Linked DNA regions of Caenorhabditis elegans. Changing the gene in region 2 together with the main gene of any one other region gives a genetic interaction. Each region holds a gene or a part of one and is shown on either strand. Other genes may lie near its edges.

What was found.
Region 1: of ceh-18 (region 2) and spn-4, a change in one rescues a mutant of the other (synthetic rescue), as found in Caenorhabditis elegans (one study listed by BioGRID).

What each region holds. Positions count from the first base shown.
Region 1 is NC_003283.11:6,779,169-6,789,229, forward strand, and holds spn-4 (RRM domain-containing protein), read right to left. Parts: upstream 5,736-10,061; 5' UTR 5,735-5,735; coding exon 5,685-5,734; intron 5,638-5,684; coding exon 5,533-5,637; intron 5,487-5,532; coding exon 5,424-5,486; intron 5,376-5,423; coding exon 4,660-5,375; intron 4,607-4,659; coding exon 4,485-4,606; 3' UTR 4,019-4,484; downstream 1-4,018. Other genes in the region: ZC404.15 (uncharacterized protein), read left to right, coding at 1,505-1,543, 1,796-1,916, 3,511-3,693, 3,785-3,960; spe-39 (Spermatogenesis-defective protein 39), read left to right, coding at 6,323-6,427, 6,593-6,753, 6,800-7,007, 7,059-7,220, 7,271-7,407, 7,463-7,778, 7,831-7,993, 8,044-8,147 and 1 more; ZC404.2 (ABC transporter permease), read left to right, coding at 8,807-8,815, 8,995-9,089, 9,137-9,242; gck-2 (Mitogen-activated protein kinase kinase kinase kinase), read right to left, coding at 9,721-9,823.
Region 2 is NC_003284.9:3,853,888-3,863,948, reverse strand, and holds the start of ceh-18 (Homeobox protein ceh-18), read left to right. Parts: upstream 1-6,151; 5' UTR 6,152-6,205; coding exon 6,206-6,251; intron 6,252-7,582; exon of another isoform or gene 7,583-7,583; coding exon 7,584-7,729; intron 7,730-9,517; exon of another isoform or gene 9,518-9,726; intron 9,727-10,061. UniProt on the Caenorhabditis elegans protein: Directs gonadal sheath cell differentiation and function. Also directs gonad migration and plays a role in specifying the differentiated phenotypes of epidermal cells during postembryonic development.

The DNA.
Region 1 (10,061 bases), on a different chromosome or scaffold from region 2:
TAAATTAAAAATGTTTTTAACATACGTAAATCTATATTTGAATTATTTTCTGCACGTAGACCTCCTTGATCTAAATTTGAATTATTAAACTCAGACATCATTTAATCGAAAATGTCATGTATTTCTATGTTTTCTGCAGGAAGTCATCATAAATCGCTCGCCCCCATTTTATACCGGACAGGATTAAATTTCATTTGACACTTTTGCAAATAATGATGTCAATATCTTATTTTATTTTTTTGATTAGGCATCTTGTTCTATTTATCCATATAATTCATTTTTCCAAGCCAGACATATTTGGCTGATCAAAAACTATTTCTTCTTTCGAGTAGCCTCAGTTCTGGTCCATGTGTCCTAATAGTTTCAACCCATCCGGTGTCTACATTTCTTTCAATTCTTCTTTTCCGTTCGATCCGTTATTATTCGAGTTGTGCACAAGTCTTTTTCTCTTACTCTTTTTCATCTTTAGGAGACCACACCCTCCCACAGCTTTCTTTCGACAAACCGCTTCTTCTTTTTTATAGCATTCCATTCGGTTAAGTCCGCCTCCTCTGTCCTATGGTCCCAAACTTTCTCTCTAAATTTCCATAATTTCTATCATCTGTCAGGACTAGAAAAAAGAGTTCTACCGACTTTTTCAACTTGTTTTTTATAAAATTTTGCCATTTTCCTGACTTCTCCGACAAGTCGTTCGATTCAGTTTTCAACTACTGTATTTGTTTTTTTTCTGTTTTTTCCCAGTTACACTTTCTACACGTTTTTGTGAAGTAGTCAAGGTGAATTTCCAAATTTTAACAAACTTTGAGAAAAATTTGTGGTTTTGAAAAATTTAGTGAAAAGTAGTGGCTCATGTTTGATGTTTTAATTTACAATGCTATAATTTACAAATATTAAAAAAAAAAGTAACAATTTTTTAGAATACAAAATCAGTAGGAAACATTCGTTTTTGGATGACTTTTTGACTGTACATTTTTTGAAAATTCAAAAGTTATTGGAATATGGCTGGCAAAGCTGATTTGGTTATTTTAGCCATACATAAATGTTTTTTCATCAAATCACCCCCCCCCCCCCCCCCCAGGTATTATTCACATTCAAACAGCAATTCTCCTCAAATAATCGTGCACCACACCGCTTAAATTTGACAGCTTATATTCTCGGTGGTCTTCTTTTTTCAAAAATATAAGAAAAAGTATGTGTACCTGAGATCTAACAAAAATTAAACCGAGATCACAGTTATTAAAGTGAAGGTATTGGGAGCAAATCTGATGGATTCACATAGTTTCCAATACTTTACGAATCTAGGTGGCCAATCTTCTTTGCATATTTACATGTGGTCAAGAAATGTTTTATTTGAATCTGAAATTATTTACCTTCCATACTTTGTAAACAACAAACATCCGCTTATTCAACCAATGATTTTTCGAGGATCATAACAGATTTTAAAATTGTACGTTTAATTTAAATTTCCAGACAATCAAAACACAAGCTTCGACATGGATTGACTATGGACATGGACACAGCTTATCCTGTTTATTCGTCTATGGTGAGCTACAGTTTGATCGCCATCTATAGGAAATCCAAATGAAAGAGACCTAACAAATACTTGGAAAAATGTAGTTTTTTATTAATTGCACCTGCTTCTAGAACAAGAAGTTCGTGCTTCGATCTCTATTCAATATTATTTCCTTATTCTGTAAAAGCCTGGGCGGTTTCCGGTTGAAAGGCTTGAAATGAAGATGAGAGAGCAATTCGTGGAAAGTGAAAACTGAAGGTTGATGACGTTGCTTTATTTCAGGAAGAGTGCACTGCTGAATGTGGATCCTTGGTTTCTTACTGCATTGGGCATATGCCGAATCTTGTGTGCCAACTCAATTTTGTTGCATTTTTAGCTGTTATCTTTTTCGCAATTTTTACCGGTATGCTTACAAGCTAAGTCTATAAGGACACTGGGTCCTATCAAAAATTCGAGGCTGCGTGTGACGTCACGCACGCTTAAAAAAATTTTTGTACAAGGACATCTTATTGATTCTCATTTAAGAAGAAATAATGATAATATTAAAAAATATATATTGTACGCGAAGTGCATGGAGGGATTGCATTGTGCCCATAATCAAATTCATTAAGCAAGGGTTGAGACCAGAGATGATTCGTCTCTACTCGGCTAACAAATATTATAGTAGGGAAATATAAATAAATATAGCAACGGCTTCTCCTACGCCAAGCGTTATGTTCTTAGTCCGAGAGTTTGGCAGTTAACTCGAAAACTGTCCACGTTTCGGAAAACGATGTATACCAAAATGTTCAAGAATACGGTACCCGGTTCTGGCACGACAATTTTTTGTTAAATCCGGTTTTAATGTTATATTTGATTTTTTGTAAATAAATATTTTTTTTTTCCAAAAAAATAATTAAAAATTGATGAAACTTCCGCAGCAATGAATTTTAAAATGCAGTACTCATTAAAGGCACACAACAATTTCCATGTAACAAAAATTGTCGTGTCGAGACCGGCTGCGGTATTTTTGGCGGAAAAATTGCAAAATTTTGCGACTGGATAGTATAACCTAGGGTGTAAATTTTGAAAAAGTAAACATTCGTTAATTCTTGTTCATATGCTATTCAGATGTTTGCTCTCATCTTGATTAGCCTATTTAAAGAAACCAAAACAAAACTACTGTAGTCAAAGTTTTGTATCAATTAAATTGGCGGAAGAAGCCGTCGATGTTTGTTCGTTTTCATTCAGAGCACCCGTTCGTTTGCTTTTTTCGGTGAAACGAGTAAAGGGAGTAATTGCAGACGGAACTCTTCGTTTCTTGTTTGTTTTAACTCGTCACTGAGCTCTTCTCATGTTGATGAATAAGCGGTGAACGCAAAGCAGGCAAAGAGATGCATAATCCGCGGTGTGCTGAAAGAGATTGGGTGAAAATAATTGCCTATTTTGAAAGTTGACGTCAAAAAATATGGAAAGAAAATAACTATATTGTTTTTGGGAAGAAAACGAAGATGGTGACAAATTACATGTCGGGATTCTTGTTTTAGTGTGTTAAGGGGCCATTCCTATATGATATTACGAGAACACTGAATTTCAAGAATGCGTATTGAGCAAAATATCTCGTAGCGAAAACTACAGTAATTTTTTTAAATGACTACTGTAGTGCTCGTGTCGATTTTCGAAAATGTTTTCTTTTCGAATTTGGACAGCGGGTTTCAATTTTGCTTCGCTTTTTCGAATTGTAAATAATTTTAATTGATAATCGCTGCCAAAGTTCGAGAAAATATTTTCGAAAATTGAGCCCGTAAATCGACACGAGCACTACAGTAGTCATTTAAAAAATTACTGTAGTTTTCGCTACGAGATATTTTGCGCGTCAGATGTTGTGCAATTCGCATTCTCAAAATGTAAATAGTGTTCCTGTAATATAGGCGCTGGGGAATTTTAGAGAAAATCAAAATCTATAGGAAAAAACTATGAAAATTCCAAGTTTGCCTAATAATGCATATTTATTTCAGGTATCTTCATTCCTGTTTCGTGCCTATTTTGTTGGGTAAGCGGTGGTTGTCGACGATCGAAATCCCGTCGAATGTCCTTCTTCGCAACACTTTCAAGTCGTCAAAATCGAAGTCGACGTGGCACAGGAAATGATGAGGAGCGAAGCAGTTTGTACCCTTCCTCTCCACCCACTCTTCAAATCCGTAAGTTTCTCTCTCTCTCTCGTGTTTTCCCATCCATTTTGAAGTTATCATCAAAAACCACAAAACTTCAAAATTCACCAAACTTTTCCAGCAGCATCCACAAAGTGCCGACAGCCATCGTCCTTTTCTCTTCCCGCAGTCTCTCACGACGTCATTTTAGAAGAGAGTGAATCTTCTGATCATGAATGGAGGAAGGCCAAGAGGTGCCGAAAGATAACATTTGATCTCTCAATGACACGCCGGGATAATGATCTTTCACAACTGTGATTAAATTCAAACTGAAATCTAGTATTAACGGGTGATTTTGAAAATAAAACAATTGAATATGGCGAAGCACTTCATTTGACTTCGAGCAATACAGGAATGCAAAAATAACTGGCGAACACAGCGTCTATAAAATACAAAAAAAACAGAAAGATGCTCAGAAAATACAATACGTGGGCACATTCAATAATGTTAGCAAGCGAGGTAGGTTAAACGGACTGGTAGTATATTTTCAATATAGAAGATCTGTTTTCCGATTGCTAATGTTGAGTGTATGTGAGAGATGGCAAAATAGGGAAGATGCTGAAACGCATTCCTACAAAATAACACCGGGGGGGTCGATATAGAAGCTACAGGGAAGAAAAACTAGCAACGAATCATTTGACAAGGACAACGAGTGTCGCTGTACAAGAAGATTCCGTAAAAAATTTGTTAAAGCTTTTTGGTTAAGTGAAAGTTTAGGGGTGTTCGATAAAATGCAAAACACGCAGTTAGTAGAAATAAAATGGGCGTATCAGTTGAACTGATTACTGGCTTGACGATTCTTTTGGTGGAGAAACAGACTTTCCGTGGAACGATGTGGAACCTTCGTAGAGAGCAGCGAGAAGATAATCAGGGCTGTTATGTGGGGACCAATGAATCTCTTCGTCTAAAATTTGATTTTTAAATGAAAATCGACAATCTAGAATCTAAACTATTTACCTGAAACTGTCTCGCTCTCTGATGATCTCAATCCAGAAGATGTCACAGATGGTGCTCTCTTTCCTTTGTTAGCACTATTATTTCCTGATCCAAAATGGTTTGAAGTGTCGAGAAGAGCAGTAATCTGGTCACGAAGATGATGTGGGAATATAGAGTTCAACTCCACATCAGACAGCTCGTGATTCGAAGAATCAGAACACTTATTGCTGCATGGTGAGTTTTGTCTGTGCATGCACATCAGAATACTTGTTTCCGTCGTAGGCTCGCCGTTTTTGCAGAAGTATTCACCAGCTGAAGAAAGCTTGAGCTCGCTGTGCTTGGTGCATCGAGGTGGTTTGGTCTGCACAAGACTACGCGTGTTGAAAATTCCATTGCTACGGTATGGTGCCATCATGAATCCAGCTTCGGGAAAACATGTTGTGTTCTCCTTTTCCTTGAACAACTGATGCATTGGCTCAGCTCTCCATAAATTATGAGGGGCTCGAAGATCGACACACAGCTTTGGTGGTGGCAAAACTTCATTTTGTGGATTGTTGATAAGCTTTCTGCGGGTTGGTGTCGCTCTTCTCACTTCTATAATTCTTCCTTGAACATGTGATTCGTGAAGCGCAGCACGAGCTTTCTCACAGGATTCGATGGAATCGAGTGTGACAAACCCGAACCCTTTGGATCCACGATCATTTGTGACGATTTCCACACTCAGGACTCTTCCATATCTGAAATTAATATTCTTATTCAGAACTTGTTGTAAATTGAAAACTCACGCGAAGAACATTGCCGCCAAATCTTGTTCACGAAACGAGAAGGGAATATTGCTGACATATATCCTAAAAGTTTTTTGATGAATTCATTAAAACGGCACGACAAATTTACCTGTTATCTGTGAAAGAAGCCGGCTCACGAGTTTTCGGTTTGACCGATATTGGCATTGTGAAAATTGGATCTTTGTTGGAAGGATTCGCACTGTTAAACGGTAATCTGAAAAAGAAATACTTAATACCAACATTTAAAAATGATAAACATACCCATCATGTGCTCTGTGAGCGAAGTTAGTAAATATCTGTGTGTTTTGCATTCTGAAAAAAAAAGTTGAATAAAGAAAAATGAGGAACTGGGTAAAGAAAAGACAAGACAACAGAAGACAAGTGCAGAAATGATTCCAAATGATGATAAAACGATTGAAAATATAATTTCACATTTTCCCGCCACCGAGTTACAGAAAAATCTAAAATCAAAATTTCGCGCCTTTGTGATCTTCTAGATTTCTAGTTCATACGAACGTCGGATCAGGTCTAAAAGTTAATATAACTAGACAATTTTGTGTTCTATTTTCGATTAAAAAAATTATTTTACGAATTACTAGAAACTAAAGCTTTAATTCGATTTTCTTTAGGCCAAGAGCAAAAAATAATTTTATTTGATTCAAACTCGCGCTTCATTCATAAGCCCCGCCTTCGCAATCCTGGCACGCAGTTTTTGCAAGGAGCGTGCACGCAGTTGCCTTTCTTCTCTTTTTCTCGTTTCATGTCAATTGCGTTTTTTTTCTCTGCATTTATTTTTTATTGAATTCTTTTCCCATTTTCCCATAAAATTTTATCTATTTTTTCTCATTCTTATAGTTTCTTTCAGATACTTTGCAAAAGAAATGATAATATTATAAAGAATGGCCCTTCGAAGGAAATTCACTTTTGAACTTCCGGAAGACAGTTATTGGAATGAATCTGACTCGAATTCATCCGGATTGTTTGATGATTTACAATCAAAACAAGTAAGTTTTAACGTAGTTATTATATTAAGAAAAAACGAAAAAAATCTTTTAAAACTATAAACGTGACCAGATGTTTTACTTTTAAAAAATTGAAAAAAAAGTAAATTAACACGTTTCTTAATTATTATATTGCTCAAATCAATGTGTTTAACACGAAAATTAAAGCTTCAAGCTCGAGCAGCCGTCGACAATCTCTTCGGTGGCGATGAGACTCCGAAGCCGTACGTCCGACCGCAGAACCCAACGCCAACTCCCACAAATGTTCCACTGCAAATTGACGGAAGAGCTGCTGCTGTGTCAGACAAGGCGAATATTCGAATAACAGAGTAAGTTAATTACATTGTTTTATGAATATAAATAAGTAATTTGCAGTACCTCTCCTCGGGCTTCTGGCAAGATTGTAGATGATTTCTTGAACATGAAATTCGCTGAGAACGTTAACGTGGCGCCAGTTATTCAGACCGCTCCATCTGTGGTTTCTGAAGCAAGTGCAAGTAGTTTACCAAGTGAAGCACAACGTCTTGATTTGGATTATAATCGATTGAGACAAGAACATCGGAAACTTAAAGATCAGCACGAAGTTAGCTATTAAAGTTTTAATATAGAATTTTGAAGATAATTATGATTCTAGGTTCTTCGCCACGAACGGTTTCAGCCGCTTACAATCGAGGCTAGTATCAAGAGAATGCTTCAAGGGCATACTGTAACACTGGATTACTATAGGTCATTACGTGATAAGACACAACTTTTGAAGCAAGCAGTTGCCACGTACGACAATAATACAATTTTCAAGGTCCGAACAGCTATGATACTAATTTTTTAAAAAGTTATCTTTCTTTACAGATTGTGATTTTTCTAGAGAGAACTCTCAAGGAAAACATATTCTGCAAAATAATGGATGGCCAGAAAAGTGCATGCCGAGTTTACACACGACATCTTCAGATCACCGGCGAGTGGGACAAGATGAACAAGTTTTTACGGTATTTAATAAAAACTAAATTAAAATTTGTTGAAATCAATTTCCCCATTTTATAGTAGCATTGGTCAGTATCAACATGCATCTGTCATTGAATTCGAAGCTACGCGAAAATACAAACGAAATCCAGACAAGCGAGTCCCGTTGCTCCGAACCATGCTTCATGGTAGCTTCTCAATTCCTGAAATGAAATTTGAAGCCCGACAAATGGAAGCGTTGATGAGAAACTATGAAATCCAATTGCAAATGGAGAAAATGGATGCTGGAGATAAAGGAGAACATTTCCGAAAGTTTCCAAAAACCAGCTCTCTAATTGGATTACCTGCTCTATCGTCACTGTATTATTCAGCGATGTACCATTACGACGATTCACCGGTACATTACTCTTCAGAACGTTGCAAAATCATTCATAATCGATGTATTACAGACATCTGCAGCTTCTCTACCATCAGTTCAAACATTGATCCGATTCAATGATCGACTTGCCACTCAAACGATCGTCTCAGCGTTGACTCGACTAAGCCGTTGGCCAGATATCGATAAGCTACTTCAACCGAAAACTATCACCATGACGTTCAGTGCAGCTAAAAGTAATTTTGTGGTTTTAGCTGAGAAAATATCTAAATTAACTGAATTTCAGGTGTGTTCAAAGGCAAAAAATCAACCAGTAAATGGGGAGTTTCCATCAATAATCACAATTTGCTGACTATTGTAAAACGATCTCATCCATCTCCACCGACTGATGTGAGGAATAGTTTTAACAAGATACCTATTATTCATGTGTGTAAATTTTCAGTTCATCTACCGTATCCTGAAAGGCGAATCTGATGCACAAGAACGTCTTCGCCTAGCACTACTATTTGATGTTCCTGAAATGGTCATCGAGTGTCTGACACAGAAAGGAGATCGTCTCTCGCTGGCTTCATACGCGAAATCTCTGAAAACAAATTCTGTGGAATCATTCAAAGCGGTGGCGGCTCTCAACAATCCGTCGATAAAATGGAAGTAATTTTATTAATTCGCTTCAATGTACTGTACATGTTTTTTCACCCTCACCACATCCCTCATCACTTTCATAATTCCATTCACGCATAGTTAGTTGTAGAATATACACAATCCTTATCATATTATAGAGCATCATTTCACTTCTTAATACTATAACATAATTTCACTATTCAGTCTTGTAAATGATTAAGAATTATTCATTTTCACTGGTTCCTCGCTCTCTCTTTTTTTCTGTAGATGTAAAAACTTGTCGTTATAGATATTTATTTAAATAAAATTTATTGTTTTCTATCTTTTATTTATTTCTTTAAAAAATTCGCCGTGAAACTTTTTTTTACTTTTAAAAATTTCCACGACGCTTTATTTTTCCTTTATTTTTATTTTATTTCGACTAAATCATGAATAAGGTAAGTTAAAATTATTTTTGAATAATCAGAATGATTTGAAAACAAACGCGCTCCATGTCAAAATGAAAACGCTCCGCCCCCAACAGATGGGTCTCGTTAGGTATTGGCGGAAAACCACTAAATTCAAATTGACCCATGGAGCGCGCTTGCACCTCAATTTCAAAGATTTGTTGTTTCAGACAAGTAAGACTACTGCAAGCAGCTCTAAGAAAACATCAATTTCGAGTGGAAAACCGAAAACTCCACGACGAAAGAAGCCCGGCGCTGTTTCAAGGTGAGCAATTTTTCAAAATTTTATTTCAAATTCGGAATTTTTTTCAGACTTCTCACCACAGAACTACCGCTGAATTTTCTCTTCATTTACATTGTGTTGGCTGCAATGTTTACCACCCTGATCTTCTGGTCACTTAATCCGGTTAAATTCTAGTGATATTATTTCGTAACAGCTCTCCGGTTCAAAATAAATAACAAGACTTATTTTATACAAAAACACGGATGCAAGAAAAAAGGAAAAGAAAATTGCGCGTTAAACAGAAGAAGCTCGATGAAAAAGTGAATCAGGCGAAACAAAAAAACCATTTGATAATAAAATTGGGCACTTTTCGGTATTTATATGATAGGGTAAGGCAATTAGTTGACACAAAAGAAACGAACACGGAAATTGGGAGAAAATGGTGGAAAGAGCGAGGAGATCAACAAATTGATTTATTTTACAGGAATTGGTGATGATGGTGGGGGAATTTTGGTTTTTTTTCTATTAAATTATGCGTGAAATAATGATGAACTAGAATCGAGTGAGGAGAAAGCAGAATACATGAGTTGTGACCCGGTGTAGGGAAAATGTGTAGGTTAAATACGTTTTTTTCTTCTGGAAACAAAAGCAGATATATGCGATGAGAGAGATCTTATCCAGCGATTGGAGTATCCGTATGTCCCATAAGTAAGCTGACGTCACAAGTATCGCCAGAGTTTCGGGGTGACATTGGTTGCGATCGGAGGATTATTACTCTGGAAATGAAGATTTATCGATTTGCCTTTTAAAAAACTGAAAAAAACCTAAAAATTTATGAAAAAATACTTGTATATTTTTGAATTTTTCTTTGTTTTATTCTGATATTTTCATAGAATTTACGCCCTTTCAATGATAATTGTAAGATAATATATAGGATGCTTACAATTAAGTCGTTTAAAATTTGAATTTTGAAGTTTTCAGAAAAAATTTACAAAACCACATTTTTGCCGTTTT
Region 2 (10,061 bases):
AAATTGTTATTCCATAAATCGAACATTTATAAATTATTACATTCTTATATGTTCTTGTTAATTCCAATTTTTCGTCTTCTTCGGCATTATTCATCCTATCCATGCTGCTGAATTGTATATACAAAATTTCCAATGTTTATCGGCACTTTTACATATCTTCCATAATTCGTATGTGCGTATGTGTGTGTACAGCTATGCCGAGTTCTAGTCATTGCGATTTATAACAGAGAGCTCTGCTTATAACAAAGACAACGGCAGCAAAATTAGTGCGTCCTTTTTTTTTGATTTGCACATACACACTGACTCTATTCAAATGCTTCAAATCATACTATTTTTTAACTGTACAAACAAGAACACACTGGCCAATTATCCTGCCAGTGAATTATTTAGAGCATCACAACGCGTTTTGTCAGCAGCTCATTTTTTCGTGTCTGTCTAATTTTTGTGATTATTGTTTTCTGACCCAACCCTACTTTACCTCCACTTTGGCTCTACATTTTTTTTCGCAATCACCGAAAGAAAGAAAAATTCAGTAAATCAACAAAACGAAATAAGAGACGGTAGAATATTGGAATAGTAAACATTTGAATGAATAGGAATAGTGGATTGTCGAGAGAGAAAAAAGGTGCTCACGGGAGCAGCGGCGCGGGGGGTCATACTGTCTACGCGCACAATCTGCTTTTAACTTGTCATTACTTGAAGAATGAATAATTTCTCTTATTTCATTTCTGCTGCAAATAATATCATTTTTTTCGAATTCTTTGTGCACCGGCCAGGTGAGGCGAATTGAAGAGCTTGCTGAATTAACAAATTGGTAACTTAAAGAATTACTATGGTACGGTCCCTATCTCATATTAATCGCTTTAAACAGCTAAAAAATATATTATTTTCCACTTGAAATGTTTTTGTCGAGATTGAAGTCACTTTAGCTGTCCCTGTCCCTGGCCTTTTAAATCTCAAAAAAGCCGCCAAAAGAAGCAGATGTACAAGTTGTTCTGTTTGGAAATGTATCTGGGGGCTTGTGTATATACGCCTTGGTACAACCTCTGAAACAGCTGTTAAAATTGCATCTACATATATGTATACTCCATTCATGAATTTCCAACAATGCCGTGATTCAGTGAATTTCGGAGAAATGTAGGCGCCGAGAGTCGTTTTCTCATTTTCCCCATTCTTCCAAACAGTTGCACAATTTGCCAACCGTCAGCCGCGTATGCAAATAGAGGCGTCACGTAAGAGTTGAGTCAAGTCAGCCACAGAGACCTCATTGACTGAGGTTACTGTGCAGCATGTTCTTCGTTTTTTTTTTCATTCTCAGAGAAAGAGAATCCACCTAGCGCCGCAAGTGTCGTTGCGACCCCAAGCCGTTTCTGAGTATCTCAAAAGTCCCCCCGTTTTGCTCTCACCAAATGCTCTCAACTCGTTGCGTATAATTTTTGTGTTTATCGAGCCTTTCCTCGCTTTTTGACTTGCTCACTTGCCTATATGTAAACGAACCACCGTTTTTTTAACCTCGATTTTTCTGCCGACATGTCAACATTTTGAAATCAAATTTTGAGCACATAATTTCTGAAACCGATGTGTGATTTCGAAGGTTTTCATGAGCTGATCTATTTAGATATAGCATATTCAGTTCATTTCTTCAACTTGTTTAGAATTGTACCATTTGTTTACATGACACACCTGGAATTTTGGATAATCCAAACATTGCTACTATCTTTAGAACGCCAGCATTGGCACAACACTAAGAATAGATTTCAAAAAAAAAATTCTTGCTAAATATATATTTTTGAGAGATATCCTGTCAAAAATTGAAAATTTCAATGTTTTCGAGTTTGAATCAAATCAAAATGATGTAAAAAAAGATTCTAGAAGTCTAGTTTTCCTTCTGATTAAAAAACAGCTATTTGGTCAATTTCCAAAGATTATGAGTGACGAGAACTACAGTTTCAAACAGTTTTTGAAAGTGTTTCTAATAAGTTTAATCAACTTCCTTTTCTAAATTTCATAAAGTTTAATTTTTTTAAATTAAGATTTATAATAAAATTAATAAAAATTGCATAATAACATCACAAAAAATTACAGACAATTCTAAGTTTTGTCAATGAGGAAATGGAGTAATTCCCGTAGTCTCGTCCCGTAGTCTCGTAATTTCACATATTTTCACCTCTTAAAAGCAAGAAAATGTCAGTCAAATTTTTTTAAAAGTGTCAAGTTTGAGAAACGTTTTGAATTTTTTAAACAATTACAGAAATCTAGTTTAAACCTCTACAAGATTTAGAAGGTAAACTATTTTAAACATAATCTTTTAAAATTTTTGCTGTGACTGAATTTTTTTTAACTTTGTTATTTTAGTAAGAATATTTCGATAAGATTCGTCATTAGTATTTAGTTTTGAGATTGATATTGCAGTATTTTCCAACAGCTGTCATCAACATCTTATGTATCCCAAAAGCGCCGAGCAGCAACAGCTGCGCATTTTTCATCAGAGAAGACAAAAAACACCATGAATTTTGTGTCGAATATTTCAAATGCACTTTAATGAAAGAAAGAGCACTCTGATTCCCAAAAAAACACTTTCAATGACTCACAAATCAATTAGACTAGTTCTGTTGATTCTTACTACAACTCGAGTGAATCGAGAACCGATTGCTCGACTCTTTGACTACGGTAATGTGTTTAACCAATGGGCAAGTGACGGGATTATGCAGTCAAGTGATAAGCGAAGTGATCAATTCAGAAAATAAAAACACACCATATGCATTGGGATAAGTCGACCTTGCCCAGTTAGTTGTTCTTCAGTTACTTTGCATCTCTCTTCGAAATACTCAATTTTTCCTCTTACTTTTTCTATTTTTTTCCTTCTCACCATGTGTGTTAGGTCACTTTACACATCAGCTTACCTGGCGAGGAGAAAATTGAAAAAGACAAGTGATAATCATTATGATAGGTACAGAGACATATCGAATACGAAATAAAAACTTGACGGTGATATTGATAATTAGAGAACGTTATTCGTATTTTTTGGTTTTACATGCGTTGGCCATACTGTTCTAAACTAATCACCGTTCTTGCGCAAAAATTCAACTCGAGTATTGATCAATTAGGACAACGTACATACGTATCAAATCAGTTGACAAAGAAAGACAAAAAAAAGAGACATTCTTTACTTGGCATTTTACATTTTCATTCTCTTAATTTTCATTTCAACTGTGAAGGGTTTGGATACCTTGGAACTAACATAATTGTTTTAAAGGATTTTATACATACAGTATATTCTCTATAAGTATTGCAATTTTTAACAATTTCAATGACTTATTTTTTTAGGAAGAACCAGCTGAATATTTTGAATTCTGATGTTTTTTAGCTGATTTACAAAATTGCACATCTACCTAATTTGATAATTTGAATCAAGCCACGGTAAAAAATATTGAAAAAAAAACATTTGATCTCGGTAAAACATTAAAAAATGGGGGAGTCCTATAAAACTTTCGCGGTCAAAACTTCCATAAGTTTAAAAAACTGATCTAAAAATAATTTTTAATTTTATACAAATTATGACGGCTATTTTGTAATATGAACATTTTCACAGTTTTTACAAGTTATGTTCCTTTTCACAAATTGAATGAGAGATTTTTTGATAGTTCAGAGCACCAGTTATTTTTTGACTTTTGCAAAAATTATCAATTGAAATTGTTGATCATTTATTTATCTATATTATGCTGTTTGAAAATGTTGTGAAATATTTGAAATAGGCCGCAATTTAAGCTATTAGAAGAGCTTAGCCAGGCTTCGGAAAATTTGTATTTCATACTATTCATCAAATCATATACTCTTTTTAAGATTGTCCTAATTTTTATTGTATTAAAAAATCTCAATTCTTGCAAATCCATCTGCTTCAAAACTTCCAAAAATTTCAAAAACTGTTTTAAATAATTTCTAATTTTATACAAATTTTGATAGCTATTTTAAATTCAATCAATTCTCAAATAAATCGAATGATATTTCAAACCTCACCAGTTGAATTATATTAAAAGTTTAATGTTGTGATGAAGAGAACTGTGAATGTGAAAATTACATTTCACATCAACACGAGTGTACGATAGAAATGTACAGTTTTTTCCCTTTTAAATGCTCATTTTCAACGCAACTCGCTCTTTGCCAACTCAATCTCGAAATGTCAACTTTTACTTTTGGCCGCACATTGTTAGCACGGTGAATAGTCAAATGAGAGTCCATTTAGTCATGCCCCCCCCCACGCTTTCCACGCGCCCCTTCATTTTTCTCCGCCATTCACCAACTTTTTTATTCATTTTTCCTTGGGACCATGCAACGACTACATACATGTCCACCACGACTTCATTGTGATTATTCATAGAGCCATTTGGCTTTTTGGGGGGAGCCGGCCAAACGGCATTCTTTCGCTTGCATAGGCAAATGTCGTATATCCAGAGTGTCAGCAGGGCAGGAGCAGCGCTAGAAGCACCGTCGTTTCAAATCGACGCCATCTAATATGCATATTTGAACAACTGCGCGGTTTTGCCCACAGATCTGGCCGCCGCAATGCCTTTTTGCCTTTTACTGGCTAAACATGAATCCGACCAGTGCGATCATCCACATTTCCTCGTTTTACAGTACAGCTGAAAACAAAAAAAGATAATGGAGCTTTTGAAGGAATGGGGACTTTGTAGGAAAAGATAATAGATAATCAAGAGAAGTACATCACGTTTCGAATTGCCTCAACTTTAGGGCTCATGTGTCAATGCTCATTTCGTTAAGCTGATGACCTCTCGATATCGCATCTGTTTCTCCATGTTTCATTCATACTACTACCTATTCTCCGTCTTATCCCTTTTTCCTTCCCAATTCTTTGTCTCTTTCTTGCCAAACAGAACAACACCTCCCGAATCAACATTTTATCCCCCCACAATCAATCACTCAATAAAATCCATCAAAAATCTTTTGATAATCAAAAATGCCTCGGTGCCTGACTGCCGAACAAGCCGGCGGGGCGTCGTCTTTTTTGTTAGCAGTTGTGTTGTCTGTCATCCTACGTAATTTTGTGAAGACTCGAATTCATGAGCCAAGTGGTGCTCAAAAGACTAGGTAATGAATGTGTAGTGTAATGGCCGGGAAGAGTGAGCCTCATACACAAGATATCATATCATCTTATCTCCAAGATGTATTTCGAAGAATCTTTTTTGAATATTTCACATTCTCCATTTTTACAGAGCTAACTGTTTTTTCAGCTTCAACTAGAAATTTTCTCAACAGTGAGAATGCAAATACTTTCAGAAAATGATGTGTAAGTGACAAACATAGGCACTCTCGGAGCTACAGAACCAATTTCTCTTCTTATCATATGCAAATTTGGCGTTTTTTAATACTCTAATGTGTTATTCAAAGCTTATCAGTCAAATTTTCTTTATGATCTCATACAGTTCGGCAACATCGAAGTTTAAATTTCAAATTAGGACGCGATAGATTTTACCCTAGTTTCGTTCCTAGATATTAGAATAACTTAGATAATAGAAGAAAAGTGATGCGAAAAACAGGGACTCGAAAATTGTTTTAAACAAAGTGTCCTATGCGAAATTCACTTCATTTCTTTTATTTTTCTCTTCCTCTCCCACATTTTTCGTCGAGAGCTATCATAACAAGAAGAGCTGAACGCGATGCAGCAGTAGCCGCAGAAAAATCAGATCGAATCATTAGGCGCATGCGACAATTGGCTGAAAAATACTGAGACACAAGTCGCACTAGAACGCTTGGCTGTCAGCTAGTTAGGTGCCGCTCGGCTTTTCCTCCCCACCCCGAGAGTGGTTGATTTTATGCCAATATTACAACTTCTAGGGTGGCTCATTTTCCTGAATCGCCGATGCGATCACCCTCGTCGGCAATGAGTGGCCCCCACGCGTTTCGCTTGATCCATGCCGCCGATTTGCTCACATGAAACACATTCTTCATTTTCTTTTCTCAATTGACGGAATATTACATTTTGTTTATCTCGATTCTCTTTTCTCAGTCAATCTTTTCTGATTCGTCATACCTTCATTCACCTTCCAGCTTATACAGTTTCGATTTATTTTTAATTTTCATCTATCAAAACCACATTCTCTGTCGGTCTTATCCAACAGTGTCTCTGTTTCAGACGTAAAAAGTCTCTATCATCATCCTCACAACACATATCATCAATGCAAGAAATATGAACACCTTGGAGAACACGTTTCAATTTCTCGCAGAAGTATTCGGTAGGTGATGCTTTATCAATATCCGTTTCTTTTTCTAATTGTCGACTCTTCGGAGTCTGGTCACAAATCAAGCGCGTTGCTGTAATAATTCATTTTGACTGATTTTCGTGAAAAGCTAATGACAACGGTATGTTATAGGCGATGATTGTCTACCTGGACGCAACAATTTTTTAAAAATGTTGGTCAGATGCTCTTTTTTTGCAGTTTTAAAATCCAAATTCACTTGTGTAAAAAAAAAAAAAAATTAGGCGTTTTTCAAAAATTGTATGGGTTTTTTGATGAAAAAGTGAAACTTTTTGCACTTTTGAGCAAAACAGTTTTGTTGGGTTTTTTCTTGTTTTTTGAGCCTGAAAATGAAATATATGTACATTAAGAAACTAATTCATGTGTATACTAAAATCGAAATGGTATGTATAAAATAATTAAATATTTTTTGGAGTAGCAAACTCAAAATTATCAACTTTAGTTTTAACAACTCCAGAAATAACTTTTGAGAAAATAAGGGTCAAAAGTTTTTTTGAATTTTTGAATGCATTTTTCTGTATAGAAAATTGTCAGAAATTCAAAAAATTATAATACTTGCAAAACATTAAAATAAATTTTGGATACTCGATATGAAATCACTTCAGACAAAAATTAATTTCCAATGTTACGCTACCAGCTTTTCAAAAAAATTGTAAAAATTTAAAGTTTGACGGTAAACATTTTCCAAAACTCATTTACACTTAAAAAGCGGTTTCATAGCGCTAAAAATTTTACAGTAAACATTTTGAAAGAATTTTCAATTTTTTTACAGTCAAAGAGTGGTTAAAATTTAGTTTTGACCTAACATTTTGAAAACATGTATGTAAGTGTAGCAATGCTCAAATGTTTTTCTTGAATTTTCACCAAAATAATTATGGAGTGTTCTATTTTGATATTCGGCCATCTTAGAGTATTATAAAAATTGTTAGAATGAGTTATTTGACAATTACATTCACTGAAACGTTGATCAGTTATTAAATACTGTAAGTTGATTTGTAGAACAATGTACACAAAATAAGTAACTCCAAATTATCAATTAAAAGTTTATCATTTCATTGAAAAATCACAGTAGTGAAAGTACTATCAAAACTTGATCTATTGATCACCGTTCCGTGTGTCCTTATTTTCGCGTTCCACTACTTACACAGATTAACTCAAGTTCAGCGTCGTTGATGTTAGCTTTCGAAAAAAAAAACTTCTGCGCGAATTTGATTGGCATCGTGAAAATGAGATAACATGTTCTGATTGCTCAAAAAAGGAACTTTTCTGACTAGATGCTGCTCCATATTTCTTGTGCACATTTTTCAGAAGCCAATGGTGGTTGCCTTGTCACAGAACGTGTCAGTCCATCTTTGTCGGGAGCCAGCAAACGAAAAAGTCGACCGGTGAAGAGGATCATCACTGAAGACGAAGTAATCCCAGAAGAAGAAGTGGTCGAAGAAGAGGAAGAAGAGGTGAGTCTTTTGAAAACAAACTGCTTTCCAATTGGCTTTTAAAGTTACCTTTTTTCTCAAATACGTTTTTATTTGCAATCAGTGAAAAAAAAAATTTAAGCTGTTTCATAAAACTTTATATATACTAAAATGATTAAAAAAGCTATGAAAATAGTTATAAAATACCACACATCTAAATTAGTCAGTAATGTTTTTCCACTCTCATCGGACCCAAAATCAGACCTTTCCAATTCAACTCGGCCATCCCAGCCCATCGCATCCATTTGCTTTCTCAAGATGAAGCAGTGCAATGAAAGTGTGGGATAATGCAATAAAGGGGTGGCTAAAAAGGAAAAGAGATGCGGGTATCGAGATAAGCAGATTCGGGAGTTGGCCCTTGTTTATGATGTAGGACAAAACTAAAAGTAGGCAGAGGAGAAAGCCGAGCCGCGTCGTTCTGTGTTTTCAACTTTTCATATTGGTCCTTTTTTTAGGCGAAATCTTGGGAAATTTAGTGATTCGTCAAGATAAAAATTTTAATTTAAACTGTTAATTTACTGTTCTGGGCATGATCCTATTTTTTATCTTTAATCATCTTATTAGGGAAAAAACAATTTTTAGTTTTTAGTGCAAAATTCCAAACGAACCAGTTTGTTGCCTGTCTCAAAAATTACATTTTCAAATATGGATAAAAATTTAAACCATCGTCTTATTTAAAAAGTATTTTTTTAATTTATTTTTTAACATAGATTTTTACTGTTATTGTTAATGTGTACATATTATTTTATTTTACTCTTCTGTATCTAGAAATTCTGCATAGTTAATTTTAAGAAAGGGCTCGAAACAGTAAGATTAACATTTTTGAATAAATGTTCTAAATTTTATTTATTAGAACTTTTAATGTCTATTTTCATGACCGTTTCATAAAGAAATAACTAAAAAAATATCGTAAAAATAACTTTAGAAATTGATTCAACTAGATATTCCTTATCATTTTTGACCGAAAAGATATTTGGAAAAAACAGTATTGAGATGACGGTCGCTAACTATTTTCAGCGACTGCCACTGTATATAAACTGCTTCACTTTTTATACATACCTTTTTAGCACAAAAGTGTATTTTCTAATTACTAAAATTTGTTAAATTTCAAGCCTTTTCTTCTCACGTTTTCCAACTTTTCCCACGCTGTAAAAATTTTTTGTTTCGTAGTATTTTAATTTTGGATTAAGGTTCAGTCAGGTCATTTTATCATTTTTTTTTAATTAAAAAACAAAATTTTTGAATGTATTTTCAGTTCTTTTTTCCTTTACTTTTGTAATTAATTTTCATAACTTCTATATTCACATTGAAATTGTATCAAACTACAGCAGCTCTGAACATTTTTGAGCATCCTCAATTTTTTTTCAAAATTAGAGACCTCTGGAAATAAAGAAAGTAGGTTGGCTGACCCAATCATGCTGCAGCATTTTTCAATAAGTATCATGACCCGTCGGTCGCTGAGTAATTGAATAAGTAATGAGCATCGTCGTTTTGGTCCTGAAAATGGAGTCGACGACGACGACGACAAAAAGATGAGATCTTCCTTTACGGAACGAAAACGCCGGCGGTCCGTGCTTCGCGTGTGTATGGGTATGAGAGAAACGACCCCACTGAATGACTCGAGTTTTCGACGAGCACTTCCAGATTTGCTTGTTTTTCACATCGTTCCATTTCTATTCCCCTTAGTTTTTCGTTTCTTTTTTTTCAATTGCCTCAGATTTATACATAGCTGGAACGAGAGGAGAAATATTTTTTGGCGTGTGCCATTCTACGCCCGTCCACCCATTTGGAACGCTTCTTCTTCTTTTTTCCCCCATTTGGTCCCCTTCTCAATGTTTTTTCTGTGACGACTGGTAGCACCCACTCGGGCAGAGATTCCACTCCATCCGTTTGCCGATGCAACATTTGTTGCATACATAAAACGGGGAAAAAGCCGGGGGAAAGCAGCGGCGAAAAAAAAACGCGGGAGGGAATTTGAAAAGTGAGAAGCTGCAAGTGTAGTAGGTCGTTTCTGTTTCTCATTGGGACCATCAAACGACTTCTCTTTTGTTTTCGCAACGACCCCCTCCTCATCTCTCCTCTCGATTTCATTTTCCCTTTTTTTGTAACACTATTTTCCCAGGTCCGGTCATTTGTCTGTTTTTCTATATCTCTTGCTCCCCTTTTCCCTCTTTCTCTCTCTGATCCTTGACTACCACAGCTGTTCATTATAAAAAGGTTCTGATAACGATCAGTGGTCAATAATGATATAAAGTGTGTATGAACAATTGCTCTAACTTGCCCAAAATGGTCCCAAATAGAGAATTTTCGTAGT